4 linked regions of the Macaca fascicularis genome follow. The protein of the gene in region 1 interacts with the protein of each later gene in a pairwise test. Links are inferred from orthologs where the notes say so. Each region holds a gene or a part of one and is shown in the gene's direction. Other genes may lie near its edges. The genes, in order: VENTX, RBPMS, TBX15 and TBX22.

The links.
Region 2: the proteins of VENTX (region 1) and RBPMS interact in binary tests that used the Homo sapiens proteins (3 or more experiments, as listed by UniProt). The two-hybrid records come from large-scale screens. The link is inferred for Macaca fascicularis from reciprocal best matches to the Homo sapiens genes VENTX and RBPMS.
Region 3: the proteins of VENTX (region 1) and TBX15 interact in binary tests that used the Homo sapiens proteins (3 or more experiments, as listed by UniProt). The two-hybrid records come from large-scale screens. The link is inferred for Macaca fascicularis from reciprocal best matches to the Homo sapiens genes VENTX and TBX15.
Region 4: the proteins of VENTX (region 1) and TBX22 interact in binary tests that used the Homo sapiens proteins (3 or more experiments, as listed by UniProt). The two-hybrid records come from large-scale screens. The link is inferred for Macaca fascicularis from reciprocal best matches to the Homo sapiens genes VENTX and TBX22.

The regions. Positions count from the first base shown.
Region 1 is NC_088383.1:142,305,646-142,313,419, forward strand, and holds the start of VENTX (homeobox protein VENTX), read left to right. Parts: upstream 1-3,780; 5' UTR 3,781-4,209; coding exon 4,210-4,450; intron 4,451-5,696; exon of another isoform or gene 5,697-5,853; coding exon of another isoform or gene 5,854-5,893; intron 5,894-6,008; coding exon 6,009-6,169; intron 6,170-6,250; coding exon 6,251-6,631; 3' UTR 6,632-7,774. UniProt on the Homo sapiens protein: May be involved in ventralization.
Region 2 is NC_088382.1:33,582,568-33,590,355, forward strand, and holds the start of RBPMS (RNA-binding protein with multiple splicing), read left to right. Parts: upstream 1-2,690; 5' UTR 2,691-3,251; coding exon 3,252-3,317; intron 3,318-4,710; exon of another isoform or gene 4,711-4,753; coding exon of another isoform or gene 4,754-4,756; intron 4,757-7,788. Other genes in the region: uncharacterized protein, read right to left, coding at 1,917-2,678.
Region 3 is NC_088375.1:115,505,562-115,512,550, forward strand, and holds part of TBX15 (T-box transcription factor TBX15), read left to right. Parts: intron 1-465; coding exon 466-567; intron 568-2,250; coding exon 2,251-2,422; intron 2,423-3,468; coding exon 3,469-3,636; intron 3,637-6,989. UniProt on the Homo sapiens protein: Probable transcriptional regulator involved in the development of the skeleton of the limb, vertebral column and head. Acts by controlling the number of mesenchymal precursor cells and chondrocytes.
Region 4 is NC_088395.1:86,616,614-86,623,594, forward strand, and holds the end of TBX22 (T-box transcription factor TBX22), read left to right. Parts: intron 1-41; coding exon 42-206; intron 207-584; coding exon 585-649; intron 650-1,194; coding exon 1,195-1,280; intron 1,281-3,745; coding exon 3,746-4,356; 3' UTR 4,357-5,044; downstream 5,045-6,981. UniProt on the Homo sapiens protein: Probable transcriptional regulator involved in developmental processes. This is major determinant crucial to palatogenesis.

The DNA.
Region 1 (7,774 bases):
ATATTTTGGCTGTTTAAATCAATCTAGGGGCCGGATGTGGTGGCTTATGCCTGTAATCCCAGCACTTTGCGGGGCTGAGGCAGGAGAATTACTTGAGCTCAGGAGTTTGAGACCAGCCTGGGTAACATGACAAAACTCCATCTCTGCAAAAAATACAAAAATTAACTGGGCATGGTGGCACACACCTGTAGTCCCAGCTTCACTGGAGGCTCAGGCAGGAGGATCACTTGGGCCCCGGAGGTCAAGGCTGCAGTGAGCTGTGATCACATGAGGCACTCTGGCCTGGGCAACAGTGAAAGCTTGTCTCCAAAATAAGTAACTTGCTCTGCGGGCATGGCAGGATTAGCCTCCTGTGTGCTGTTGGCTTAGCGTTTTTTTTTTTTTTTTTTTTTTAGACAGAGTCTTGTTCTTGTTGCCCAGGCTAGAGTGCAATGGTGCAATCTTGGCTCACCGCAACCTCCGCCTCCCAGGTTCAGGCGATTCTCCTGCCTCAGCCTCCTGAGTAGCTGGGATTACAGGCATGTGTCACCACCTCTGGCTAATTTTGTATTTTTAGTAGAGATGGAGTTTCCCCATGTTGGTCAGGCTGGTCTGGAACTCCCGACCTCAGGTGACCCACAGGCCGCGGCCTCCCAAAGTGCTGGGATTACAGGCATGAGCTACCCCCGCGGCCTCCCAAAATGCTGGGATTACAGGCGTGAGCTACCGCCGTGGTCTCCCAAAGTGCTGAGATTACAGGCCTGAGCTACCGCGCCCGGCCCGCCGGTTTAGCGTTTCTTCAGCCCCCAGGCACCAGACCAGCACCACTTCCTAGTGGACAAGCGAAGGGGAGTGGGGAGCGTGGGTGTGTTGGGGAATGGGGACATGGGGGTGTTGGGGAGTGGGGAGCGTGGGGGTGTCGGGGAGGGGGGCATGGAGGTGTAGTGGAGGGGAGTTTGGGGGTGTGGGGAGTGTGGATGTGTAGGGGTGGGGGAGCTTGGGGTGTCGGGGAGTGGGGCGCCTGGAAGTGTAGGGGAGGGGGAGCGGGAGCGTGGGGGTGTTGGGGAGTGGGGCGGTGGATGTGTAGGGCAGGGGGCGTGGGGGTGTCGGGGAGAGGGGCCCGAGGATGTGTAGGGGGATGGAGCATGGGGGTGTGGGGGAGAGGGGCACATGGAGGTGGGGGCGTGGGGGTATCGGGGAGGGGGCACGTGGGGGTGACGGGGAGCGGGGTGTGGGGGTGTCTAGAGGAGAGCGTGGATGTCTAGGGGAGGGTGAAGAGGGTGGGTGTCGCGGAAGGGGAAGCGTAGGATGTCTCAGGGAGTGGGGAGCACGGCTGTCCCAGGAGAGCAGGAAGCGGGAGGGTGTTGGGGACGGGGAAGAGGGCACGTGAGGGTGTCAGTGAGGCCGAGGCCGCGGGGGTGGGTGTTGGGGAGGGATTGGGGCCTCCCCTTCAGGTGGTCTCAGAGTGCTCGGAGGAGGCTTGGGCGAGTCGTGACGGGGCCGGAGGGAGCAGGGCGGTCTGGACCCGGCGGCAGCACACGCTAGGTCCGGTGCTTGTCCTCAGGCCGTGGACTCGGGGGGAGCCCGTTTCGGGGACTAGTTGGGCTCCGGGCTGTGCGTGGGGGCGGGGCTGCCAGCCTGGGAGTGACGCGGGACTTCCTTGCCCAGCGCAACCCGGCCTGGACCCCGAGGGTGGGGAATGGGGCGACGCCCGCGGGGACCACCCTGTGCGGCGTGCGGGGCGCAATTCTCGGGGCTGGGCTGCCCCAGGGGCTGGGAGGAAGGAGGCGGAGGAGCGCCCAAGTCTCCTACCCATGGCGGCGCATCAGGACGCGTCCCAGAGCTGGGGGCGGACGGAGGCTCCGAGGCGGAGGCTCTGGTGACCCCAGACCTGGGCCAGAGCAGCCTCCGCGGGCCCTGGAGGGAGGGTGGAGGCAGAGGCCCGGGCTGCAGGAGTCGGGGGAGCCTGAGCCACGGCGGTGGGGCCGCTTGCCAGGGGAGAGGGGCCACCCAAGCCGCAGCAAGGGGCTGGGGTGGGGGCCCAGGACGAGGGGCTGTCTGGCCCTGCTGTGTGAAGGTGAGGAGGGGCGGTTCAGGTGGAGGTGGTGCGGGGGAGCTGGGAAACTGGCAGGAGGAGCTCTATGCAGAGCTGGGGCCGGCGAGGGGAGCTGAACCACGTGCAGAAGGTGGCTGAGACCTCGGGGCCGGGCCCCTGGAAATTAGAGATGGAGACGTGGAAGGCTGGGTGCTGGCGTTTCACAAACCCATGCTAGTGGTTTCCTCTTTATGTAAGGGATGCTTCTGGGCCTTTTCCCTGCCTGTCGAAAGTTCTGTGTGTGTGTTTGGGGGGCGGGGTGGGAGGTGAGGGTGTGCTGCGTTTTGCTCCACTTTGAGGCACCGCCCCGCCGCAGCCCCCACCCTCAGGGCCTCTGCTCCCAGGTGGCAGGGCCGCCCCCACTGCGGGAGGGCTGGGTACCTGCCTCATGGGGCATCCTCGGGGCCAGCCCTGTGGCCGTAGGCATCTGGGCCCTCGCTGCCCCTGGCCGGAACACTCTGCTGGTCCTGGGCAGTGGCTTCAAATCCCCTCTCCCGGGGGTGACCCGGTCTTTCCGGAGATGAAGTGGGGACGGGGTCTAGGCCGCCTTCCTGGCCCCCCAGCCCTCCTGGTTTTACCCCCGAGGCCACGTCCAAAGCCCCCAGCGCCCCACCCCTGCCAGCCTCCCCCTTGAGGGCCCGGTGGCCTAACTGGGTCGGCAGGGTCCGAGGAAGACCAGGGTCAGCAGCGGCGCAGTCCGTTCCCCGACCCCGTCACCTGTGACCCACCTGTTCCCCGTGAGGTCCCGCCCCAGCGCCCCCCTCCCGGGCTCCTCCCTCTTTTCTCAGCCCGGGAGGCGCGGATAGCCGGGTTGGGCGTAACCGTGGGGCGAGGCCCGCGGGTCTTTCTGATTTCGGAGAGCGGGGTGGGCGCTGAGGCAACCGCGGTCAGGACCCGGCCGGGAGTCGGGGCTGCTCCCTGGACCCCGTCTGCGCCGAAACCCCGCATGGCTTCGGACCTGCGCCCGCGCCTAACCCCGGCCGCCGGAGACGCAGTGTGGACCCCAAGCCAGTGCGCGGAAGACACCGTCCTACCCTCGGCGTGGGCGCAACGCGAGTCCGTGTGTCCCGGCGCGCGGGAAGCTGGTCCGAGGCCGGAGGGAACGCTCGCGGCGTGGCTGCCTCCCACCCGGCCACTTCGGCCCCGCGCCCCACCCCGACGGCGCAGGCGACCCGGGGACGCCCAGGACGCGGAGACGCAAACAACTCGGGACCAAGGTTCGTGGGAGCAGCGGCCGCGCGTCGCGATGACCGTCCCGGGAGCCCGTGCTCAAGGCGTCCCCGTGAGGTTTGGGCTCCACAGTCCCCGGCGGCTCTGCCCCCGCCCTGGCCACAGTGGGGACAGCCCGGCTTGGCGGGGACGCGCCAGTCCCGCAGCCGAAGCGGAGTGTCTACCCCGCCGCGCGAGGCAGTGGCTCCGGCCCTTCCAGCTCCGGATGGGGTCAGGGAGCCGCCCGCGCCCGCATGCGGAGGCTGCTGCGATGGCCCCGGGAGTGAGTCCCCCAGAGGAGCCGGAGTAGGGCTGGAAGCGGACGAGTGCCCCGAGAGGCCCCTCCCGACATTGCCGTCCCCGCGCGCCGCTCCCCGAGCCCTCCGCGTCTTTCCCGGAAAGCGTCCCTCGGTTCCTGCGCGACCGCACAGCCTGGACGCAGCGCACGCGGGCACCGGCTGAGTCCGCCCTGACTCTCCCAGCCTGAAGCCTGCTCGCCCTCGGGTGTCCGGGCTGGGCACAGGCGCCAGCGTCCCCCTGGAGAGGAGAGGTCGCCCGGCACCGCCCAGGGCAGGCCCGAGTGGGAGCGGGACCCTCCTACCTTCCAGCAGCCTCGGCCCGCGGGGTGGGGGTTGGGAGAGATGAAAGGAGGTGACCGATGCCGAACCGTCCCCTCTCCATTAACCAGGGCCCGCAGCCCCGCCCCTGCCCCAGACACCGAGGAGCCGGGGAGGTGTGAACGGTCTCCTTTGTGTCTCTGAATCGAAGGCAATTAGGCGCTGCTTATCCGGGCGTTAGCCGTGTATGCAAACCGGGCTCCCGCCCCCTCCTCCCGGGCTTATAAACGCCGCCGCCCGGCGAGGCCGGAGGTGGATCCTGCGCCTGGCCAGCCCCGCCCGGCCTTCCCTCCGGCCCACCTGGCCGCCATGCGCCTCTCCTCCTCCCCACCTCGTGGCCAGCAGCAGCCCTCCAGCTTTGGCTCTGTGGACTGGCTCTCCCAGAGCAGCTGCTCAGGGTTGACCCCCTCGCCCAGGCCTGCCGACGTCTCCCCGGGGAGCCTCCCTGGCCCGGGCCAGATATCCGGCGCCCGGGAGCCCCCTCAGGCCATCAGCATCAAGGAGGCCGCCACGTCCTCAGATCTGCCTGCGCCGGAGAGGACCGTGGCTGGTAGGTCCGGGCCGGGGGTCCTTCCCAGGTGGAGATGGGAGTGGGGGAGAGGCCAGGAGCCCGGCGGCTGAACTCCCCGCGGTACGGGGCGGACGAGGACAGGGCCGGGGACGTGTCCATGAGGGCCGGCGGAGGCCTTGCCTGCGCCTCACTGGAGCGCAGCTTCCCTCGAAACCAAAGCCTTGACGGGGATTTTCTCTCCTTGAGCCCTCGGTGGGCTCCTCTGCCTCCCTTGGCACCCCGTTCCTCAGCTGTGTCCCACCGCGGCCTGGTGCCGAGGGACCGTCCAAGGGGTCCCTGTCCGCACCTCTCTGCCCTGATTCCGGGCGCTCACTGAAACACAGCGCGGGCGTGGGCACCTGTGCCCCTAGTGTTCCAGCCCCGCAACCATCGAGACCCAGTTCCAGGGGTCCGACGATTTGCCAAGCCCCCTCTGCCCCCAGCAAAGCCAGTGCCTGCTCAGCATCTAGGCTCAAGCCCCTTCCAGGCCACCTGGAGCACAGCTGTCTTTTAAAGAGCCTGCAGGTTTGCTGTAGGGCGGCGGTGACCCGGTGCCTGCAGAAACTCTGAAGTTCGGTCTGTGGCCCGGAGATGCTCTGTTGTCTGCTGAGAACAAAGGTTCTCCGCGTTTGTGTTTTAGTCTTTGTGACATCGTTGCCGCTTTTAGGTTTAAGGTAGTACTTGGTCAAAAGTGGGGTTAACATAAGTTTTCATTTTTAAAAATTTGACTGATCCTCATGGAGTAACTTTGTACTTCAGGGAAATGAAAATTTAAATATGTTCTTCCCAGCTAGCTATCCTGCCCCACCCCAAAAAAGTCAACCATTCCTGTCCCCCAACCCCCTTCCTGATCCCAGTCCTACAGCCCTCCCCGCCACAAGGCATTTGCTTTTCGGGTCTCCCATGTGCTTTCAGGCTAACGTGAAGACAGATTTTGTAAAATACGCTTCCTTCCGCAGAAACTCCAGTGAGCATTTGGGTCAGACTTGAGTTAAATGTTGAGCTCGTTTCGCCACGTTGGCCTCCTTCCTGGGACCCAGACACACACCACCTTGTGGGGTTGTTTAGTGCCAGCCCCCATTCCTTAACTTAGAAATTAGAAAACAGACTTGACCAAGGTGGGCCTGGGGATTAACTGAGCCGGGCTCTGCTGGCTGAGGAGCCGGAGCCCAGGACAGGGACCGAGTTCCCTGGGTGGGTCCCCAGGCCTTTGCATGTAATGGACTCTACCTTACCTGCCTGGAAGTCTGCAGAAAGGGTATCCTGGGAACCGGCTTCGGAAGGGAAGTGTGGGATGGGGCCGAACTGAGTGAGCTGAGCCAGCCGAGCGGAGGGCAGGCCCAAGCTGCTGGTAGCATTCTCCCTCCCCTGAGTCACCTCTCTCAGCCCCTTTCCGCACGCACATGACCTGGAGGCTGCGGCAGGGCTGCTGGTCACTGTCAGGTGAGAAGATCTGCCCTGCCCAGCCCCCAACATGCTGTCTTCACCTGTTACCTGTGGGCGGGGCTTGCCCCATGGGGTGGCAGGCTCAGCCAAATGCTCTCACCCTCTATGCCAGGGTTGAGTAAGGAGCCAAATACCTTGCGGGGCCCCCGTGTCCGCACAGCCTTCACCACGGACCAGGTCCGCACCTTGGAGGGCGTCTTCCAGCACCACCAGTACCTGAGCCCTCTTGAGCGGAAGAGGCTGGCCAGGGAGATGCAGCTCTCAGAGGTCCAGGTGAGGCGGGCCGGGCTGAGGTGGGCAAGGGTGGGCCGGTGGCCTAGTCTCACCCCTGCTCTGATTTTGGTTTTCCTGCAGATAAAAACCTGGTTTCAGAATCGCCGGATGAAACACAAACGGCAAATGCAAGAAGTCCCGCCGAACAGCCCCTTCCTGGGGTCTCTCCACGTGCCCCCAGCTTTCCACTCACCGTCTTCTGGCCTTGCCAATGGCCTGCAGCTGCTGTGCCCTTGGGCACCCCTGCCTGGGCCCCAGGCTCTGATGCTGCCCCCGGGCTCCTTCTGGGGTCTCTGCCAAGTGGAACAGGAGGCCCTGGCCTGTACGGGGGCTTCCTGCTGCAGGCAACCTCTGGCGCACCACCCCCCAACCACAGGAAGTGGCCTGCCTGCACCGGGACCAGCCCTGTCCACGGGGCCCTGGGGCCTGTGCGCTCTGCCGGAGACAGGGGATGCCTTTTGAGGAGGCACCTCTGACTCTCTCCCACGCTCACAGTCTTGCGGATTGCACCTGGCTCCTACCTGGAGGACTCAGCTGTTGTGTTTACATCGTGGTGGCGCCTCTCACCCTGACCACACAAAGATTCTGGAGATTTCTGGAGAATAGATATATATGTATGTATCTATCTATCTCTATATATATGTATATGTGTATATATATGTATTTTTTTTTAAAGACAGAGTCTCGCTCTGTCGCCCAGGCTGGAGTGCAGTGGCGTGATCTTGGCTCACTGCAACCTCCACCTTCCGGGTTCAAGCGATTCTCCAGCCTCAGCCTCCTGAGTAGCTGGGATTACAGACGCACGCCACCACGCCCAGCTAATTTTTTCTATTTTTAGTAGAAACGGGATTTCACCATGTTATCCAGGCTTGTCTTGAACTCCTGACCTCGTGATCCGCCCGCCTTGGCCTCCCAAAGTGCTGGGATTACAGGCGTGAGCCACCACTCCCGGCCCTGAGAATATATTTATTAAAGCCACCTCTTCACTGAAAGTTACCGAAAGGGTCGGTTTAGGAAGTAAATGAAGGGTCAGTGAACAGAGTCAGATGCAGAAGTGGGCTTGTCATGGGTAGGGCTTTCAGCGTACGATAAAAGGATCGTTTGTTTTTTAAAAAGTGTTGGAAAAACTGGTTTTCCAGTTGGAAACAGTAAAGGTGGTAAGCTTTGTGTGTAAAAAAGAAAACCAGGAAGGATTGGAAGGGAATGCAGGTGTCGTGTTTACAGCCTTGTGGTTCAAGTCCCTCTTAACAAGAACTCCAAAGCTGGAAAGCAGGAGGGAACAGGTGAAAATGAAGGCGGGGATGCTGGGGTCCTGCAGTGTGCTCTGGGCGGTGCGTGAGCCGGGACTGCCCACGGCCTGCTGGGGGCTCTTCTCCAGCCGGGGAAGGTGGGGCAGCTGGGACCTGCGGCTGTGCCTGGACTGAAGCTGTCCCGCAGGTCCCCGCCCTCCAGCACCAGCTCACCTGCCGCCTCCTCACAGCAGCCTCGGGACAAAACAGAATGACTCAAGGACAGCACTTCCTGCAGAAGGTCTGGGAGTGCCCAGAATGGGAGGCTGGGAAGCCCCTCCCGGGGAGAACTCCCCCATCGATGGACCATTCTTGG
Region 2 (7,788 bases), on another chromosome or scaffold:
AATTCTCCCGCCTCAGCCTCCCGAGTAGCTGCTATTATAGGCGTGTGCCACCACACCCAGCTAATTTTTTTGTATTTTTAGTAGAACCGGGGTTTCATCATGTTAGCCAGGCTGGTCTCGAACTCCTGACCTCATGTATTCGGCCCACCTTGGCCTCCCAAAGTGCTGGGATTACAGGCATGAGCCACCGTGCCCCGGCTGGAACTTATTTTTGTTTCTTATCCCAGAGATTTTTGACTTTTAACAATGGACAAAGTCCTGGCTTGGCTTAAAGACAAAGGAACCAGATTCTTTATTTGGAATTAAGCCATGCTTCTCTGGGTGGGGATAGGAGAGGTTCTCCAGGCATCCTGATATCACACAACGTAGTCCACCTGCTCCCAAGTGAAGTCTGAGTGGAACTATTGACTACATTGTCATTTTTGTTGGGCCCATGCCAGGCTCCAAGAAGACCATGCCCTTCTGTGGACTACGCTCCATAACAGGCAAGAATGGCCAAAGACACAGTGCTAGCATCATGGGCCACCACGGGGTCCTAAGACCACCACTCACCTATTATTGCTCGGGTAGACATTGCCCCCTCGTGGTTCCTCATGTAATTGAGGGAGAAGCTGGCAGTGCAAAGGGCTGCCAGTTAAGGCAATCAATACATCCAAACACGTGCAAACTTTCCAGATTCACTGTAGCCTTGTCTCTTCTGAATGTCTTGGGTTGCAATTTCAATAGACTTGGTTTATTTTCATCCAGGATACATGTTTGTTCCCCTTAGAGAGAAATCACATTATGACAGCAATTAAAAAACATCTTTTCCCTATGGAAATCTTCCTGTTTCAAAATCTCCAAACCCCCAAGATAAACCCAGTATGTAAATCCAAGTATCACTACTGTTTTTCTCATAATGCCCTTAAAGCAAATATTTTCCTCGCTTTCTATAATCGGAAAGAGGATTCTGAGAGTATCTTGGCTCCATACCACTTTATTTTTTTGTCTTTTCTTTTTTTCCCCTCTTTGTGGAGAACAGGGTCTCACTATGTTGCCCAGACAGGTCTTGAACTTCTGGGCTCAAGCAATCCTCTTTCCTCTATCTCCCTAAGTGCTGAGATTCCAAGCGTGAGCCACCGTATTACTTTAAACTCCCTAAAGGGAGGGTCCTTATCTGCAACGCCCACAGCCGCCCCCCCCCCATCCCCAGCAGCACTTAAATCAGTATAAAGAATGTCTGCTGGGGGGTGGGGAGAAACAGTTAAGCAAATACTGTAGTTAGAAACTTACTGGTGCAGGACAGGAGCAGCAGGCTGGGACGGAGAATTCCTGGGAGTAAGAAGTGGGGCAGAACCCACTGATACATGGAGTTCCACATTTATACATTTGTAGCAGTCAAATCTAAGAGTTTAACACAGTGGTTCCAGACAGTAATTCCATCAGTTTGGGAGGCCAAAAGCCGGAGGATCACTTGAGGCCAGGAGTTCGAGATCAGCCTGGGCAACAAAGTGAGACCCTCATTTTTCTAAAAAAAACAAAAAAAAAAAAACAAAAAAAACAGAGGCTTTAACGATCGAGTATTGGAAAAGCTTTCTAAGGCCCGGGAAAAATGGAAGTTTCCTTAATAATAATGTTAGCTTCCATGTATTGTAAACCTAAACGAAGCAAGAATGAATACTGGGTGCTGTACATAGTTCTATCAACCTACAATCTCGAAAACGCTAGGAGACACATTCAGCTGCTCCCATTTAACGGATGAGGAAACAAGTACGCAATCCTGAAGTTGGTGCAAAGCCCAGGCCCCCTTTCTTCTTCAAGTGTGCTTCCAGCCTCTGAAATTCCTCCGTGTGGACCCCGAGCTCTGCCTGCAATGAGGAATATTCACTTTGCCAACAAATATTTATTGAGTGCCTACTATACACCCGGTAGCTCGTTTAAATAGCCGTGGGATTAAAAAGATAAATAGGGTAAGTTTGTGGTTTTTTCTTCCAGGAAGGAGCTTTCTGAAGGGTGAGGGAGAGGCCAAGTAAACAATCCCAGAACAGTCGGGTGAGAGTTGGGAGAGGAGTCGGGGGCCGCGGGACGCCCAGGCAGCGAAGCGGGGAAGGCTCCGGGCGCGTCGCAGGACCCGCGCTGGAGATGGGTTTGAAGCCCTGTCCTGAAAAAGCCGGCCCGGAGGGGGCTGTCCCCGGTGTCCCTCGAGTTCTCATCCTGTCATTCAAACAGCAGGGGAAGAACCGGGTCTGGCTCGGGAAGGGTGGGCTTAGGGCCAGGGGTGCAAATCCCATGGTAAAAGCCGGCAAACAAAAGTCGCACACATCCCAGCTCCCGGTCCTGGCCCCGGCGGGGCAGGGTCCCCGAAGTCCCGGGGCGCGCAGACGCCGGGGCCCCCGGGGGCCGAGGGAACTGCAGTACCCGACCTCCCCTGCCCTCGGCCTCCAGGGCCCTCGCCCTCCGACCAGCCGCCGAGTCTGGGGCTGGGGTCGCCGCTTCCGCCCGCGGCCCGCGGCCCCTCCCCGGCGCGCGCCATCCGGCCGCCGGCCCCTCCTCCCGCGGGGGGCTCCGTCCCGCGCCCCGTCCCTCCGGGCTGCAGCCGGCAGCCCACGTCCAGGGAGGGCGGAGGGAGGAGGAGAGGCGCGGAGAGGAGGGAGGGGAGAGGGGAGGGAGGAAGACGAGAGAAAGGGAGCTGCTTCCATCCCGGACTTCCCAGAGCCTGCCTGGAGCGCGCACTCAGCGGCTCTCGGGTCCCAGCGTCCCAGCCGCCGCCCGCGCCTCTCCGCCCCGCTCCTCCTCCTCTTCCTCCTCCTCCTCTTCCTCCTCCTCCTCTTCCTCCTCCTCCTCTCTAGGCACCCCCGTCCCCTCCTTCCAGCGGCTGCAGCCCCCAGCCCCAACTCTCTGCGCTTACTCCTGGGACGCGCGTCCTCGCCCCATCCTTTGCTTCCTTCCTTCCTTCTTCCTTCCTCCCCTGGCTCCCGCCCTCCCTATCCAGGTCGCCCTCCCGGGGCCCGATTGTCTCGGTGCCCCGCTCTCGGCCCGCGCCCTGCCCCGTCTCTCCCTCGTACTTCCTGAGTCGCCCGCCGCTGCCGTCGCAGTCTCGCCGCGGGAGCCCCAGCCCGACAGCCACTGCCCCGGCTCCAGCTCCAGCCCCGCAGCCCGCGGCGCCCGCCCGAGGGAGCCCCGGCGCCCGGGGAAGGCTACAGTGGGCGAGCGCGCCCTCGCCCAGCCCCGCGCCCCAGCCCTGCCCGGCCCGGCGAGGAAGGACCGGGAAGATGAACAACGGCGGCAAAGCCGAGAAGGAGAACACCCCGAGCGAGGCCAACCTTCAGGAGGAGGAGGTACTGGGCGGCTCGGTGCAGTGGCGGGGGCGATCCGGGACCCAGTGCGGGCGGCCGGCGGGGCGCGGGCGCGGGCCCGGGGCGCGGCGGTGGAAGGTTTAGGCATGGCCCGTGCCCGGGACGCAGCCCCGCAGTGTGGCCCGGGGAGGGTGGATCTCGGGAAAGTGTGTTTTTGTGTCCACGCGCGTCTGCGGGCCCCAAATTGCGTAACTCTAAGGACTTTTCGGAGACTTTTGTAAGTATAATGCTCAGCTTTGTTTGCCCGGGATTTAAAAAGTGGAACCGAGAGCTGACTCCTGGGTGACCTCAGATATCGGGACTCGGAGGGTCAGGACTTAGGGCTGGGGCTGGAAATTGTGTGTGGATTCGGGGTAGCGGGGGGGCAGTTTAAGGAAGAAACTCGGGGAAAAGTTTTCATTAAAAGATACCTCTGTTCCCTGCCCCCTCCCTTTCCGTGTTAAAAGTTCTTGGTGAAATATCTTTCTAGCCGAGGGTTTTTGGATTAATAGATAACTCATCAGCCACATTCTTCTCTGCTGAGTCAAAGACCCCGAACCTGGGCGGTGAACGCTTGCGAATTTAGGGCCGTGCAGATGAGGGGAGCAGAATAAGAGGGTTAAAAACGCAGCAATTCACCAAATGCTCATCGAGGATACTTTTATAGGACTTTGACTTCTGAGCACGCATTTTAGGTGGTGCGTCCTCACGATGAAAGTTTTGTGACTGCGGAGCGTTCCTTCGGTGGAAACAAAATTGAGTAGATGTGGTCAGAAGGGGAGTCGGACTCAGGAACAAACGTTTCAGAATTCAGTAGTAGGGTATTTGTGGTATCCTACCAAATGACTGTTTCTGCAGGTACATTATCTGGAGTCCAAGAAATTACTTCTGGCGTACTTTTTAATATCACACACAGTTGAGTTCTTAACATTCTAGAGGAACTTGAGAGTGTGTGCAGATGCAGGAAAGTGCATGTCTCAATATGACCCGAAAAGATTCACACAGGTATTGCATCCTGATCTAGGTGAACACAGAAGGTAAACGGATTCTAAAGCGTTAGGACGTTGAGATCATTGTTGAGACACTGTTGTGTGCAAACTTCAATTCTGATAGTGAAACCAAAATTGCAGAGGAATTCATTAATGCATACAAGTTCTCTGCACATTGTCCACTTGGAAAATGGGAACTATTTAGGTGGAGAAGGTAGAGGAGCGAGACTATGCCAAACAGTGCAAAATCGGAGATTTTACTCTCTTACCCAGTTGTATGGTAGTGAAAACCTAGATGAGTTGCAGTCAGTCAAAAATTGCTTTCTCACCCGAGGACATTTTCTATTTTATTATAAAAGACTATTTGAAGAGTTGTTTACATGCATGTTTTCTAATTACAAGTGTAGGAATGCTACTGGCGTTTCTTTTTTCAAAGCAATGGAGAGTTGAATGGTATGTTCTAACTTTTTTTCTTGAACTTTACTGGCTGCTTTGCTATTTATTTTCCCTACCACTTAAAAAAATTTAAAAATAATGCTTTTTTAAATTTGCTTTTTTAGGAATTACTATAGTTAACTAATTCACTTACCATATCAAAATAATTATCGCTTCAGAAATCTTCCTATTTCAGCTAAATGTGCAATCTGTTTGCTTCTCAGGGTTAGAATATTATATCAAACCATCTTTATTTACCCAGTTGAGAAAACTTTTTTTTTTTTTCCTTTTGGTGGGTAGCAAAAGAGGTTCAATGTCCTAAAAATCATACCCACTTAAAATTAAGTATAGAAAAGGCACATTTTTCCGCTTGACCCATCTTAACAGCTGCCAGCACCGAGGGATTGCCTGCCCTGTTCCTGGACGCTCCTCTGTCCTTGCGAGGTTGTGTGTAATAATTGCTGTATAATCGCGGACCATTGCAGTATGGTTGCTGCCTCTTACTTGTCCTGTTACCTGACAGTGTTCTTTTTCAGGTAGGAATGGCATGAGGCTCTAGAAAGTATCGATATTTTTAGCAAAACACTTGTTATGTAAAAAATAAGGGGACTGGTAGGAAGATTTCAGAACCTAAGTTGTCCAAGAGATGTCGTGTACAAAACAGATAAGACTGTGAAGAGAGGGGGTTTATAATGTCAGAAATTCAGGAAAAGAAACTAAGGTGGCCTGAATGATCCGGGTAATTTTGCCTTAATTTCCTATTTTTGGTTTATATTTTGTTCTTGAAAAACTCTTACCCTCTTTTTTGGTTTTTTTCTTTCTAACCCTGAAAGCCACAATTAAAATAAATAGGGTATTTGGTAAGTGCCATTAATGAGCCCGGCATTACACAAAACCACTACATTGACCCTTTCCCTGCCCACCCATCGCATCAGCAACTTGCTCTTAAACACATTTAAAAACCTTGGCAGTGGACTCCGGTAAACAGAACACACACATACAACATATATATATATATATATATATATACACACACACACACACACACACACACATAATGACAAGAGAGGAAAAATGTGTTTTGTTGTAATTTCTGGTGGCCATTGAACTGACATGGAAAAATGAGTCCAATCGTCATTAAGGGAAAATAGTTTATTTCACAGATCATGAGGGTGGTTTCGGCTTTCTCCACATTGAATCCAGGTTTGATTTTTTCTGTGTTTCTAGTTTTGAAATGAATTCCTTTTATCAACTAGTGTATTTTAGCGCTTTTGAGAGTTTCTAATGCTTACCCTGAAATAATTGGTTCTAATTGTATAGAATGAACAGTTCAGGATCTAGGAAAATTTTTGCAGCTTTTTAGGGTTGGACGTTTTTGAGAACTTGGGCAGAACGTGTATTAATACTTCTACTTTAGATAGCATTGAAAACTTTGAGGAAAAATAATTTTAGGATTTGGCTAGCCAGTTGTGTAAGAGAGATGATACATTTAGCTTTCTGGTTTTTAATGTATTATTACATTAAATACGTGTATAATACACGTAAAATGTATTATGCGTGTGTGTCCCCTAAGCAAGTTGTCCTGTAAAGACTAATCAGTTGTCAAAATCTCACATTTACAAGGTTTGTTTATATATGTTTAGAGTATCATACCATTTCTTATATTTTACAATTCATAAAATGATTCCTAGAATTTCTCTAATTTTGCAATCAGACTTTATAAAAATTAATATATAAGTAATAGATCCATAATTGTCTTGGCTAATCAGTTATAATTTGAGTTTAAAGTATTTTCAAATATATGAAGACCTTTTCTGTCTTATAGCTAGAAGTAACTTATTTGTTGGTCACTGAATTTTCAAGATAGAAATTTAGATTAAATATGTGATTTGGTTTTTATTTCTACTTTTATGCATGTCATTGAGTACTTTTCAGGCCGATTATAAAACATCTTTAAAAGGCCTTTTATTATATTGAAGCTCTGGTGTTAATTTCTCCTTAAATTGCTTTGAATTGACTTGTACTTATAGTAAAACTAAAGAAGCAAAAAACATGGAAGTGTTGGAATATTGATCAAAAAGATGTGCAGAAATCATATAAAGTCAGTTCTTCAGAGGTTAATGCAAACCTTTACTTTGCATTCCTTCTTTTAAAGTGTTTACTAATTTTGCCAAAATATTGGGGTTGTAAAGAAAATTGTTTCTTACAGTTGCTACAGAGAGGGTAATGTCAGTATCAGGCAACCTCAAATTTTCATTGAGCATTAAAGTCAGTCTACATTATGACTTCAGGAAGGTACAGAATGGTTTTATACAATTTAACCAAGATTGGGGATCTCTGTTATTCCGAGTCCAATAGTCCAATTCAATGCAATAAACATATATTTCAGTTGTAGAATAGGATTTGGTGACAACTGATGCTCCATGACCCCTGCCAGTACGGCATGCACTTTTTGAGTTATTTTTTCAGTAGCGGTTTAAACATTTCCCTGATAAACCCTTGTGTGCGTCTGCAGGCTTCTTCGTTGCCAGTGGCGTTTAGTTTTCAGATGGGTAGTTTAGAAGGGATGGAAGCTCTTTTCTGGAGATGCTTTCATATGATTTTTGTAGGTTCATATTAATTTTTGCTTTACAGATGAAAGTGTTCAGTGCTGGTGATAAGGCAATAAAGTGGGTACTTTTGTGCAGAGCAGTGGTGATATAAATTAGTGCAGCTTTTCAGAAAGGACTGACACTGTCAAAATGTGTTCAGGCCCTTTGATTTAGTACTTTTATTTTTAGAAATTTACCCTAAGGAAACAGTATCAAAGATTTATATATAGGAATGATTTTTGCAGAGTGACTTATGACAGTGACAATTCAGAGGCACTCTGTATCTAACATACAGAAATTGCTAACGAAATCATTGTGTAATTCCAGAAGGGGAATATTATGCATCCACTAAAGGTTCCGTTTTTAAAGAGAAAAATACATGGGTTATAAAATATGTATTATATATAAATACATATTTGTTATGTATTATACATATGTAGTTACATACTATTTTCTGTG
Region 3 (6,989 bases), on another chromosome or scaffold:
GAATTAGAGGACATTAGAATTTGATGTGCTTAGAGTATCTAATAAGAATACATTGTTTAGGCCGGGCACATTGGCTCACACCTGTAATCTCAGCACTTTGGGAGGCCGAGGCGGGCAGATCACGAGGTCAGGAGTTTGAGACCAGCCTGACCAATATGGTGAAACCCCGTCTCTACTAAACATACACATACACACACACAAATTAGCTGAGCATGGTGGCTCATGCCTGTAGTCCCAGCTACTCGGGAAGCTAAGGCAGAAGAATCACTTGAACCCGGGAGGTGGAGGTTGCAGTGAGCCAAGATTGTGCCACTGCACTCCAGCCTGGGTGACAGAGCGAGACTCCATATCAAAAAACAGCAACAACAACAACAACAACAAAAACAAAAAACATTGTTTTAGCTTTTACCCCTGCTACTTCTCCCATTCTGATTTCTGAGCTTTCTGTTTTATTCATCTATATAGGAGGATGTTTCCTGCCATGAGAGTGAAAATCACTGGCCTAGATCCACATCAGCAGTACTACATAGCAATGGATATTGTGCCTGTGGACAATAAGAGATACAGGTAACAATAACTGGGATGTGGAAATGTGGGTACACCAGCATTCCAAGACAATTCTTCAAACTCCTTAGAGGAAATATTTTAACAATGCATACTGTACAGGGAACAAGGAATGGAGACTATGTCAATGGCCTGTGGCAGAGCACCAGGTGGAAAAAGTGTTAACTTTGACCTGGGATTCCCTGCTATGTCTCTGGATAGAATGGGACTGTATAGTGTCTCCCAAGGTAGCAAAAATCAAGTGGATCTTAAGTCTAAATTTAATTTAATTAATATTGGAAGTGATTAACATATTGAATAATTTGGTTTGTGAAATGCTAAATAAATTGGGGTGATTTATTTTGGAAAGAGGAAGGAGAGGTGGAACAATAAAGCATATTAAAATGTATATTTGATGGATTACCCCATAGATGATGGAGAGGAAGAACAGGAGAACTGGGTAAAATTTCAGGAAGAATATCTACTTAGGGAGAATTATTATTCATTGATATGGGTTGTGAGTGAGATTGTTAAGTAATTTTCCCTCAAACTGATTAAAAGCCAATGTAATCTCCATGTCTCTTGGATGGCTTATACATAGTTCTTGCCAGAAAAAAAAGTTGTGGCTTATTTGTTCTCTTGAGGTCTCACTCAAATCAGTAAATCATTACTCATTTTTGAAATATCTAAAGTCTAAGAACTTGGCCCTAAACCAATGAATAGGGAGGCAAGTGTTGATGAAAAAGGCCAGGACTAGTATTTCAAGCAGGGAGAGAGCTGGCTGAGAGAGACACGGTCTGACTTTCAGCACTTAGGAGAAAAGATGCTTCCAGCTTGTTTTAGGGAATCTTGGGAGCTGTGATTTGGACTGGGTGCCTCTATTTCTCAGGGTCCAGGTCCCATGTGGTCCTTTAGAACTGAGAAGCAGGAAAGTGCCAGATCCATGAAGATGTTTCTTCTGAACTACAAGAAAATTGGCAAAGTTGGGAAAACTGACTTCCTTTGCTACCAAACGTCTTGTTTCCAGTGACTTTGTGGGAAAATAGTGTAGAAGATGATGTTCAAAACAGGTTCATCAAAGAAAATGTGAACTGCGAGTATTTGGTGGTGTTTCTGAAAAGGTTGCAGTGAGGCAAAGGCCCATCGTAGAAATTCCTCAAAGTCCAGATTCTTAGCAAGGAAATGGTTAACCAGTGAGAGACTTGGAAGGGCTCTGCACATGGCTGCATTTTATAGGACAATATGGAAGATGTTTTTAATAAGGAACAAAATCCTGAACAAATGGCCAAGGGATTATATGGTTTGCATTTGAAAGGTGAAAGGTTGCAGTAAAATGCCTTTTCTATAGCTAGACATGTGAGTTCAGGATGCCTGTGTGCACACAGGGGTGCATGGCATGGAGAGAGGGAAGAAAGGAAGAGGGCTGTGAGAATGTTTTCCTTGCGAGGGCTGTAGATTTGATCATTAACCACAACACTTCTCTGCCCTCCCCACTCCATCTTTTTGTCCATTTCTATCTCTATTTCGTTTCCCTGCTTATCTGCCCTTCTCTTTTCCTCCTTTGATTCTCTGTTTCTTTCCCATTACTTCTCCATTCCTGTAATCTCTTTGTTTTTCTCTCCTTTCCCCTGTCTCAACTTGTTTCCTGGACCTCTGTCCCTTCTCTGCCTCTGTCTCTGAATTTTCCTCTCTTTCTCTTTATCTCAGATATGTGTATCATAGCTCCAAGTGGATGGTGGCTGGCAATGCTGATTCCCCTGTGCCCCCAAGAGTTTATATACACCCCGATTCTCTGGCTTCTGGAGACACCTGGATGAGACAGGTGGTCAGTTTTGACAAACTCAAGCTCACCAACAATGAATTGGATGATCAAGGACATGTGAGTCAAAGAATCCTGTCTCCCCTTTCTTTCTCTCTTCCCCTGTTTGTTTTAGAGCTGGCTAGCCCCTGTCTTTTTCAAATAGGTAAAATAAGGAATCTCTGTGCCACTTTAAGTCATTTTAAGTAAGTAAGCATAAAAGTGTTTTTTTTTCCAGTTAAATTCCATTTATTACAAATCTAACATTTAGCAAACATCTGTTATACATCAAGTTGTGTTTATCAGACAAAGTCCTTGTGCTCCAGAGGCTTACAGTCTAGTCAAGGAGGCAAGACAGAAAAACAAGACAAATTAACCAGTGGTAAAAGAAATCACAACATTCAGTAGAATAACCCAAAGGCCATAAAACAAGAGAAACAAGTGAATGACAGTTTCAACTAATTTGTCAAGAATTTTTTTTTTATAGGGAAGACTAAATCTTAAGGTTTTCCAGGTATAACTGGAGCATGTGATACTATTAATATATCTTTGGCAGTGAAACATATATTGAATTTTCACTGAATGGCAGGACCCATACTGGGTGCTATGGGAAGATTGAATAAGTTAAAACCATTGCTTCCATCTTCAAGGAAATAACAATTTTCTGAAAGAGTGAAAACCCATATCTACCATTCACTCTCACATAACAAAATAATGTTCACATATTCAATAATGAATGCAAATAATAGAATGTAGAAATTTAAAGACAGCATGAATACATGCTGAAAATTTGAAGCTGGAGGGAATAACTAGTCACATGGCAGAGGTTCTGAGACCTTTTAGTGATATGTTGTCCATTGGTACTAGAGAAGTCATTCGGCATTATCCAATTGAAGCAAACATATTACTTTTACCATCCATGATAAGGATGTCCTGCTATTTGGTTCCATGTAATGCTATTTAATCGCTTAGTTCTTCCTGGCAAGTATACTGATTTCTAGTTTTCTGTACATCTCACCTCCACTCTGTCCTTTTCCTAGTGCTTCTACTTAGTGATTTATTTTGCATGAGAGCAAAATGTGGGTTCCTTAAAGCCAAGCCTGGTACAAGTCCCCTTTTTATTTCAGATCATTCTGCACTCTATGCACAAATACCAGCCTCGAGTTCATGTGATTCGCAAAGACTTCAGCAGCGACCTTTCACCCACTAAGCCTGTTCCTGTTGGGGATGGAGTGAAAACGTTCAACTTTCCTGAGACTGTGTTCACCACAGTTACAGCCTATCAGAACCAGCAGGTAAGAGGTGGCCCTTGAGAGTCTTCTGCTACATCTCTTTTAAAGGCAAGAAATGCTTAGTCCTGCATGGCACTGAAGAGTTAGTATGAGAGAAAAGAGTTTTTCAGTACACACAAGGCATTGGTGATAACAATATGGTAGTGCCTAGTAACAGCTTACACCATCTAGGTTTAGATCAGAGACAAGATCTTGACTGAGAAGACCAAACCTATTAAATTATTTTTATGTCTCTCTGTACTTGCACCTGTGTTCATGATGTCTACTACATCCTGGCAAATGATCCTCATCATTTGGAATTCCTTTGCAAGTACTGAGGTTTGAGTCATGCCTTCTCTCTTATACACAATTTTCTGTGTATCCTTCCACCAGGCTACATCAAAGTCATCAAGCTATTGTGGGTCTATTTAAGACTCACCACTTCCACTTACACTTTCAGATTAAATTTACTTCTGTGTGACCACCAGCCACATCATAAGATCTGTAAGTTTATATCTGTAATACATTCATTCATTCCATAAATATTTATTGAGAACATACTATGTTCCAAGTTTAACAGAGAAATAGAGCTGATTAAGATGTATTTTTTGTTCAAGAAAAGAAAAATTTTTGTTGAATGAAAGACGTGTAAATACATAATGATAGGAAAATGAATTAACTCAATAACAGAGATGTAGGCAGAATGTTTCTTGGTTTGTGGAATAAGGTAAGTTTTCCTGGAAGAGTTGACACTTTTCTGATGTACACACACACACACACACACACACACACACACACACACACACACTAGCCAGAAGAATGCAGGAGAAATATGTGTAGGAGAGGGGGAAGGAGAAGTCAAGTCTAGAATTACTGTGGGTATTCTAAACATGTTTTTTGTTTTTGTTTTTGTTTTTATATATTTTTTTTGGAGGAAGGTGGCTAGGTGGACTTATAAGTGGTCTCACTTTACACAACTCCCTAAAAGTTGCATAAGAATGCCATTTTTATTAATTGGATGATATTTAATTATTTGTCAAAATATGTAATTACAAAGACTCTGCAGTGAACCTTTCCAAAACAAAGAATTTTTTTGTTTATTTTGCTTGAAACTGTGCTTACTTTTATTTGGGGCCTATGGAAGCAAAGTGAGTGTACACTGTTATACTCAATACCTTTTGTGTTGGATACTCTGCTTCGTGCTCTAATAGTGAAAGCAATATATAGAAAAGCATTCATTTACTAATTCTTTATCAAGTGATTATTATGTGCCAGGCAGCTGAAGGTGAATTATGTAAGTATTGACTCAGATAAAAAGGGTATTTCTATCTTTCATGGTCCTTCTGCATAAGATTCCTTAGGTATTATTTACTTTCAGAGGAATTTGACATACAATAACCCTTAGTCCACTAAATGTTAAGTACTATACAGTGTTAGACTTCTCAGCAGCTGTAAAGTGTTTCCAACTTCAGATTTTCCTAGTGAATGCTACATTTCATCAAAAATAGAAGAAGAGCTTTAGTTTGGTTTGGGTGCTATTTAAGAAACTATTAAACTGTCTCAAATTCCTTAGATAGTAAAAATGCAGAAGCCATGGAGGATCCGTACAGAAAACTGTAATAATTAAGATTTTTCAAGCTCCGATACAAGATATAGCATCAATATAGACATGGACTTTGGAGCAACCAGAACTTTGGGATTAGTTCTGGCTCAGAAGAGGGGGAGTAAGAGTCTGAATTCTCTGGATAACTGATTAGACTTTTCTAAGAGTACTCCAGCCACCATTTAAAATAGTTAGTTTCTGATGAAGGCAGTGATGTCACAATAAATATTTCAACATCAGGATTTACTTTGTAGAACACTGAAGAACAAACATTCTACTGCCTTATTGAGATCAGTTATAGAGACCAGGAGAGCCAGTATTGTAACCCAAGTTGAAACTAGAAAGCTACAACTCACTTTGGCAATGAAAGAGGACCAAGCATGGATTTTTGACAGCCTCTTCACATCCTCTACCTTCTTTCACAGATAGTGTTCTAGCACATGAGTACATTCTATCATAGAAATATTTTGTTTACATCTGGGCTGAAGTGGGAGCAGGATACCATGGTTAAGATCATGAAATTTGGCAGCAGATAAACTAGGTTTGATTTCTGATCCTTTCATTGACACTGTGTGGCATTAATTCCTTTCAACTTGTGTTTCCGGTCTTGAAAATGCACCTACCTCATAGAGCTATGAGGACTACATAAGGGAACGTGTGTAAATTCACAGATACAAACCTGACATCTAATTAATAGTAGTCAGCCTACATTGCTCCTTGGCTGGGTCTGAACAGGCATGAAAAGTGGGGCATAGAAGCAATTTTAAAGAATAAATTGCTTATTAAGGAAAAAGTGCATTGTTGGAAATTGGAGGAGCTGCAATGGCTCTCAAAGGAATTATAATCCATAGGTAACTACTTTGATCTCTCTGTGGTCATGTCATATTGTTGAATTCATGATGTGCTGACATTCAAAATAGATGCGTCATACTCAATTCTGCCCATTTGGGATCAAGATGACAGCTTTTGCCTGTTTAACAAGCCTCTAATCCCTGGATAAATCAACAAGCATGCTTATTTAACATTCCCTTTGGCTGTGCAGATATGATTTAATATAATACAGTAACTTCTAGTAATACAAAATAACCTTGAGTCTTTCCCCCAGGGATCCTGAAGTTTGCATCCTGTAGGTCAGAGCTGTTACCTAACTATACTTTTCAGACTTGTTCTGAAGATGCCAGGTAGCATAAATTTTTCTCTTTTGTGAGCTATTTTCACCTATGACTGTGTTTTTATTCTTCATAACCTTCTGGAATGAGAACAATCAATACGGCAAAATTATTTACTTCATCTATTTCTTTTTAAGGAAATGGTTAGTAGGCCTGTGAAACAGTAAAGAGAAAAAAATTTAGTGGTAGGTCCTTAGTGTTCTCAGGAACTTGTTTGGGGAAACACTGAAGAAAAGACAATAGAGGGAATGTAATGGAAATGGAACATTACCCTGACTTTCTAATGAAAAGCAGTGTCCTGCTTCACAGACAGCAATGAACTAGACATTCGGAGACCTGGGTTTTAGTCTTAAATTTTCTACTAGCTACACACGTTGCTCTGAGCAAGTTGTGTTTTTTTTTTACAATCATCACACTTCAGTTTCTTCTCTTAGAAAATGAGGAATTGGCCTGTGCTTTATAAGGTCCCTGCTAGCTCAGGAATTCTAATTTATCCCTCTTTTTTTCTGCATGATTTTTAATGAGGATTGGGAGCAATTGTTCTCAAACCAATACAATCAACACGATTTTCAGCTACTGAAAATTATTACAATGTTCATGTCTGA
Region 4 (6,981 bases), on another chromosome or scaffold:
GAAGCCAGTTTTTCTAACAGCATTGGTCATTTCTCCTCCAGATTATTCTGCAATCCATGCATAAGTACAAACCCCGAGTGCACGTGATAGAGCAAGACAGCAGTGTTGACTTGTCCCAGCTTCAGTCCTTGCCCACTGAAGGGGTTAAAACATTCTCCTTTAAAGAAACTGAGTTCACCACAGTAACGGCTTACCAAAACCAACAGGTAAAGCTGGTCATGTCTCAGGCAAATGGAAATGGCTCCAGAGGGACCTTGGGATAGAGGCTAACTGCAATCAGTTGCATTTTCCACAATTCTAAATAAAAATCATAGTTTTATTGAATTGTCATCCATGCAAGTTTGATAATGAATTGTGTAAATCTTATGTGAGAAGGCAACTCCAGAATGTAATTTATAAAAGTAATGATTTTTAAATAGGAGCTAACCATTCTAAATATGACTTGCAATATGGTTACATTTATTTAAATTGTCATATTACATGTTGCAACATCTTTTCTGGTGGTTGTAACCACTATAAGCAACGGTGACAGTGTTCTCACTGAAAGCAATGATATTATCTTTCTCTCTCTATTGAATCCATAGATTACGAAACTAAAAATAGAAAGAAATCCTTTTGCTAAAGGATTTAGAGATACTGGAAGAAACAGGTAAGCAGCATAGCAATGACATCTAATATTGATGTAGCTAGCTATTTTCACAAGTTTTTATTTTTATTTTTATTTTTTTTTTCTGAGATGGAGTCTTACTCTGCTGTCCAGGCTGGAGTGCAATGGCGCGATCTTGGCTCACTGCAACCTCCGCCTCCAGGGTTCAAGTGATTCACTTGCCTCAGCCTCCCAAGTAGCTGGGATTACAGGCGTGAGCCACCACGCCCGGCCCCCCACAAGTTTTAAGGATAAGAAAACTGGCTCAGAGACTCAAACGCTCTAAATTTTGTAATTAGTAGGTGGTAGAAAAGGAACCCAGATGTTTTGTGTCTAAAACATTACTTCCTCCCACTCCTTTGCTACTCAGTATTAAGATCTTGCTTATTTTAGAATTCTAGGTTTAACTGAATTTTATTCAGAAGTCTAGCTGTATAAAAGAGAAATATTTAAAATAGTTACATCTAAAAGACATAGCCAAATAACTCAAAATCATTATGTTCAGAAATTGCATTCTGGGGATGCTGAAAGTTGACTCTCTTTTTTAGGGGTGTATTGGATGGGCTTTTAGAGACCTACCCATGGAGGCCTTCTTTCACTCTCGATTTTAAAACGTTTGGCGCAGACACACAAAGTAAGAAAACTTGGAACATTTGTTTTATTTTTACATATTAATTAAATAACAACATCCAGAACACTTGTACCAAATACTATACAAAGGGATATGTACATGCAAGAAAATGTGTACTTACAGGTAAGTGGGTGTACCTCTGCCTGAATGATGAGGTAAGAGGCATAAAGGGAGAGAAGCTGGCATAAAGGAAGAGAATAGAAATGTGGTAATTGTGGACTTATTGAGATATGTTAGTAAGTTATCTTACACCCTGTGATTTTCAGATTTCATCTGGATTCTTCAGCCTCTCACTATCTCACGTTCTTTAGGATATGCCTGTGGTGCATTTGTAGCCTGATTTGCAGATATGTTACTATTGAAATGAATAGTTTATCTTTTATGAGGACCTTTCAGTACACGTTAAAATAACTTTCATTAAATTCATCACTTAGCTCTAATTTTCCTCTTTTTTGTCCATGGGGAAAGTAAATGTTAAAAATAATACTAAGTCTTCACAATTTAATTGCCACAAGCATTTAAAAATATTTGCAAGATATTTATTCTCAGATGGTACATTACATGACAAAGTAATAACAATTAAATAATGCAGACTTTCTGGTGGAAGAATACCTTAATTTGCTCTGATAGTTAATAATAAACAGAATAATTTTTACTTGAAAATGACATGGATTTTTTTTATCCCTTTATCTTTACTCCATCGGAGTTGCTTGACTTTGACCATTAATTCAAGGTTACAACTACCAAGCAAAATCAACATTATAGTTAGGTTGAGTTTTACATGATGCCATAATGACTAACTGAAAAGGGAAGAAGTGAAGTCTAATCATTTGGTGAAATATTTCACTGGATGATTGTCTCGATATGGTTTAGGGAATCGCATGAAAAATATATAAACACTTATTTTACAGTGTCGATTTAACCAGTAGCATCTAGGAAGCATACTTTTAAAATATCCAAGTCAAAACAAATGCGCATTAATAAAGAAAAAGTTAAAGATGATCATGAAATGTTAAAGTACACAGTTTTCTTAATTATTTAAGATATCCAAAATGCTCTCAAATTGCAAATGAGTTACTAGTTTCTTAAATAACTTTTAAATGCTTTATTATAAAATATATTTGCAATCTTGTTGATGAAGGTTTAGGATATGTCTACATACACAAAAATAGTTAAGAAAACAGCAACACTAAAAAAAGAAACAACTTGGTCAAATCCAGCCAATAACCAATTGTTTGAATTCAGACATTTACAAAAATAAGGTTTAGAGTTTCCTGGACCTTGTAATTATCCCTAGTTTTAGTAGAGCTAGGCAAACATAAAAGATCACCAAACATCATTGATATGAATACTTACATTCATCTTTATGTTTCTTAACTTGCAAAATTGTTTCCAACTCTTAAGATACAATGCAGTATGGAAATTGCCCCATTCATTGTTTTGTATTAGAAAAAAAGCTAAGGCTTTTAAATATATTGCTTTCATTTATACAAGACTATTTTCATGTACACTGATTTTTAAATCAGTGGTCAGAGGAATTTTTTAAATCATTATAACTTTGGTCAGAGGAATTTTTAAAATCAGTATACCTTTGGTCAGAAGAATTTAAAAAATCAGTGTACATGAAATCTATGCATTCTATCTATAAATTAAATCTACATAATCCAAAACAACCAATCAATTTGTTCATCTTAAGTACTTATTTTAGTATTTTTTTAAGATTACTAAAAATTATTTATTATGTAAATATTTTAATTTTTAAAATAATAAAACTAGTTTGTGTTGGTAAGATATAATTGACTCCGAGTCATAATTGGATTTCTTTGTAATTCTTTGGACAAATGTGATTCAAGTGCCTAGCACAATATTTGAGCAAATGAATGCTTAATACATGATACATAGTAGTAGTGCTAAAAGTAATAGTGGTAGTATTATAGATCAGTGGTCCCCAATCTTTTTGGTACCAGGGGCCAAGACAATTTTTCCATGAACAGTGGGAGTTGGGAGGCGATGGTTTCAGAATGAAACTGTTCCACCTCAGATCATCAGGCATTACATTATCATTAAAGAGCACTCAACCTAGATCCCTCACATGCACAGTTCACAATAGAGTGTGCGCTCCTATGAGAATCTAATGCTGCCACTGATCTGACAGGAGGCAGAGCTCAGGCAGTAAGGTAATGCTCACTGGCCTGCTGATCATCTCCTGCTGTCCAGCCAGATTCATAACAGGCCACAGACCTGTTCCAGTGGGTAGCCCAGGCATTAGGGATACCTGGTATAGATACTACATTGAACTTTGGTCAGAGGAATGAGCAGGTCCTGTCTCAAAGAAGCTAAAAGAACTGTGAACTCACAAGGAAAGTTAATCTAAGGATGAAGCAGGGATAGTGATGGGTATGATTACTAATATAGCAGGAACATCAAATGTCAAATTCATTATTCATTGACTGAATTGTCATTCACAGGTGGAAGCAGTGGCTCATCTCCAGTGACCTCTAGTGGAGGGGCCCCCTCTCCTTTGAACTTACTTTCTCCACCTTGCTTTTCACCTATGTTTCATTTACCTACAAGTTCCCTTGGAATGCCCTGTCCAGAGGCATACCTGCACAATGTCAACCTGCCTCTTTGCTGCAAGATTTGTCCAACTAATTTTTGGCAACAGCAACCTCTTGTTTTACCGGCTCCTGAAAGACTAGCAAGCAGCAACAGTTCTCAGTCTTTAGCCCCACTCATGATGGAAGTGCCTATGTTATCTTCCCTGGGGGTCACCAATTCAAAAAGTGGTTCATCTGAAGACTCCGGTGATCAGTATCTACAAGCACCTGATTCTACCAGTCAAATGTTGTATGGATTACAGGCACCTGGAAGTATTTTGCTGTCAAACTCCATCACCCAAGAAGCACTTAGTTGCTCCTTTCATCCTTCCTATGGCTTTTATAGATACAATTTCTCTATGCCGTCTAGACTGATAAATGATTCCAACCATCTTAAAGTGAATGACGACAGTCAAGTTTCTTTTAGAGAAGGCAAATGTAATCATATTCATTGGTATCCAGCAATTAACCATTACCTTTAGTAAAACAATAGCATTTCTAGAACAATTACATGAAAACAAATATTTTCTTTATTTGTAGCCAAAGAAATTTCAACAGTTATTGGTCTTGAAAAGCATCATTACAATAAGTATTTCTTTGTTATGCATTTAAAGATTTAAAGTGCCTTATCAATATTCACGAAGAGCTGTTTATAATGTCAAATGCAACGTATAGGAATCTCTGATTACAGTGGCCTTGAGCTTCAAAATGAGCTATGCAATAAATATTATTTGATGATACTCCACCACTGAAAATTGATGCTAAGCGATAGGATTTTCAATTATAGTGAAGCTAGTTCACCATGATAACTGCATTTTACACATTGACAATGACAAAAAGAAGAAGGATGTAACTCATGCAAGCAGTGAAGCAATTTCAGTTTTAACAATGAAGATTGGCTTTAGTGTCATTATCTAGTAGTTGTAGAAAAAAATTTAATTACTTGTTTGCCTTATGCCTTTATACTTTGCTGTTGAAGAAACTGCTAATCTCAATTTAAGATACAAATAAGGACACAAACTTTTAAGTATTATATTTTATTTATCTTTGTAGCCTAAAGACCATTTGATCTAGAAGGAACACAAAGATCAAATGAAAAGTAAAACACTCTAATAAATTTGCTTTTATTTTCTTTTATTTTTGGATAAATCCTAGATAAAACTTGTTCATGTATTCCTTTAACACATCTGGTATTTTACACAATATTAGAAAAACATATTATTATAGTTCTCTAAGAAGATAAAGACATTATGATTATAAGAGGGAAAATATATTTGAATCCATAAATATGAAAATATCATTATTCTGGTATGATTTAACTCCACTCTTGTATGTCAATCATAGTGAATTAAGCTAAACAAAAGTGGAATAATATTTGAGTTTATGAAGTTGAAAAGATTCCTTTCACCAGGCCCTAAATTTCTGAAAATAATTATGAGGTATAACCTATACATAGCCAGCATATCTTTAAGATGAATCAGATACTGAGTTTATGCTAGTAACTCTAGACATTTTATTAAGCCAAGCCCTTTAATATCACAATGGAATTACTTGACTTTTGACAAACTAAGCAAACTGCTAACTGATTTTTCTGATTTTTCCAACACATATAAAGAAGAGCATATCAATTATTTTGCTTAAAATGATTATTTCATCCCAAATATGCCTTATAAATGTGCCTTCCTATATATGTATTAAAACTATGTGCCATTCACTCCTGGGAGTAGGGATAGGATGCCACATGATTGCATTCAAATTAAGTATTCTAGTCAAGATGAAGTATTATTTGCGATCTAATGTAATTAGATACTGTTGCAAAAGTCTTTAAGGAATAAAATGTATACCACCCAGGTTTATTAAACCAGAAATTAAAATAAGAAAAGACATTTTATTTTTGACTACTCCCAAACAGGAAAGCTAAAGGCTGACTTTAATTAGTAAAATGGATTGTTACTTTTTAAGCAGAAACCCTTATATCAGATTATAAATGAAACATTCGGAGGTCTACATGGCAGAACCTCAGTAATTGGCAAGAAAAAGTATTTAACTGAAAAATCAAAGAAATATCTGGGTTACTTTTTAGTGACTATTTAAAAGAAGGGATTAATTTTGGAGCTTCTCCAGAATACATATACCCAATGCTGTATGTGTCAGATAATATGACTATATGTTACTCATATAAACTAGTAATATGTGATTACATTGGTAATGGTGATTAACATAAAGGGGCAAACGTTTAAATACAAGAAGGAAACATTTATGTTGTTACATTAAATAATATTCATAAATTGTCATTTTGAACTTTTAATTGAAGAAGTAAACAAGGAAAAACCTTCACAGATAATTAGACTTGGAAGAAACCTGAAGAGATTCAGTAAGCAATCCCCTGCTTCTGAGCAAGTGACTCATTTGCAGAAATCTTCTAACAGCTCTAATTCATGCACAGTAAATATTTAGTGTCTTCAACTATTTTCTGTTTAATAAATTCTTACTCCTCAATGGATGGTGCAAAACTCGAGTAACTGGGTAAATTGATGCTATGGTTATGAAATGAAAAACAAAATGATATGTAATTCTATCATTTTCACCTGCATCAACTTAACGTTAGACTTGCTTTAGAAATCTACAAAAATCCAAAGCCACTTTTGTTGGACTAAGTGTGTAATAGCCTATAAAAGTGACCAAATGATACTTAATAGACCCCAATATCTAACAATTAAAACCTCTATTTCCATCTGATTTGACCATATATATATGGGAACCACTTCTTTTTATATTCCTCCTTAATTCAGCTCACTAAATTTGTAAAATCTGATTCTTAACCTGACCTGGTTATATGACTTACCACAAATAAATATAGGGAAAGAAAGCATTTCATTAACTATAAAATTTGTACGTTGAGTCAGAAAATAAATGAATGGTACTTTACCCTTTCACAGTCCCCAGTCAAGCTCAGACCTGTAGTCAGATTCTCTGGTCAGGAAGGTATTATTTTATGGAACAATCAGTCAGCTGAAATAAGGACTTAAAGTATGAGCCTGGTTACAAAACACATATCTAAGTAGATAAATTCTCTATTCATTGTACTTTAAAGACCAATATATAGC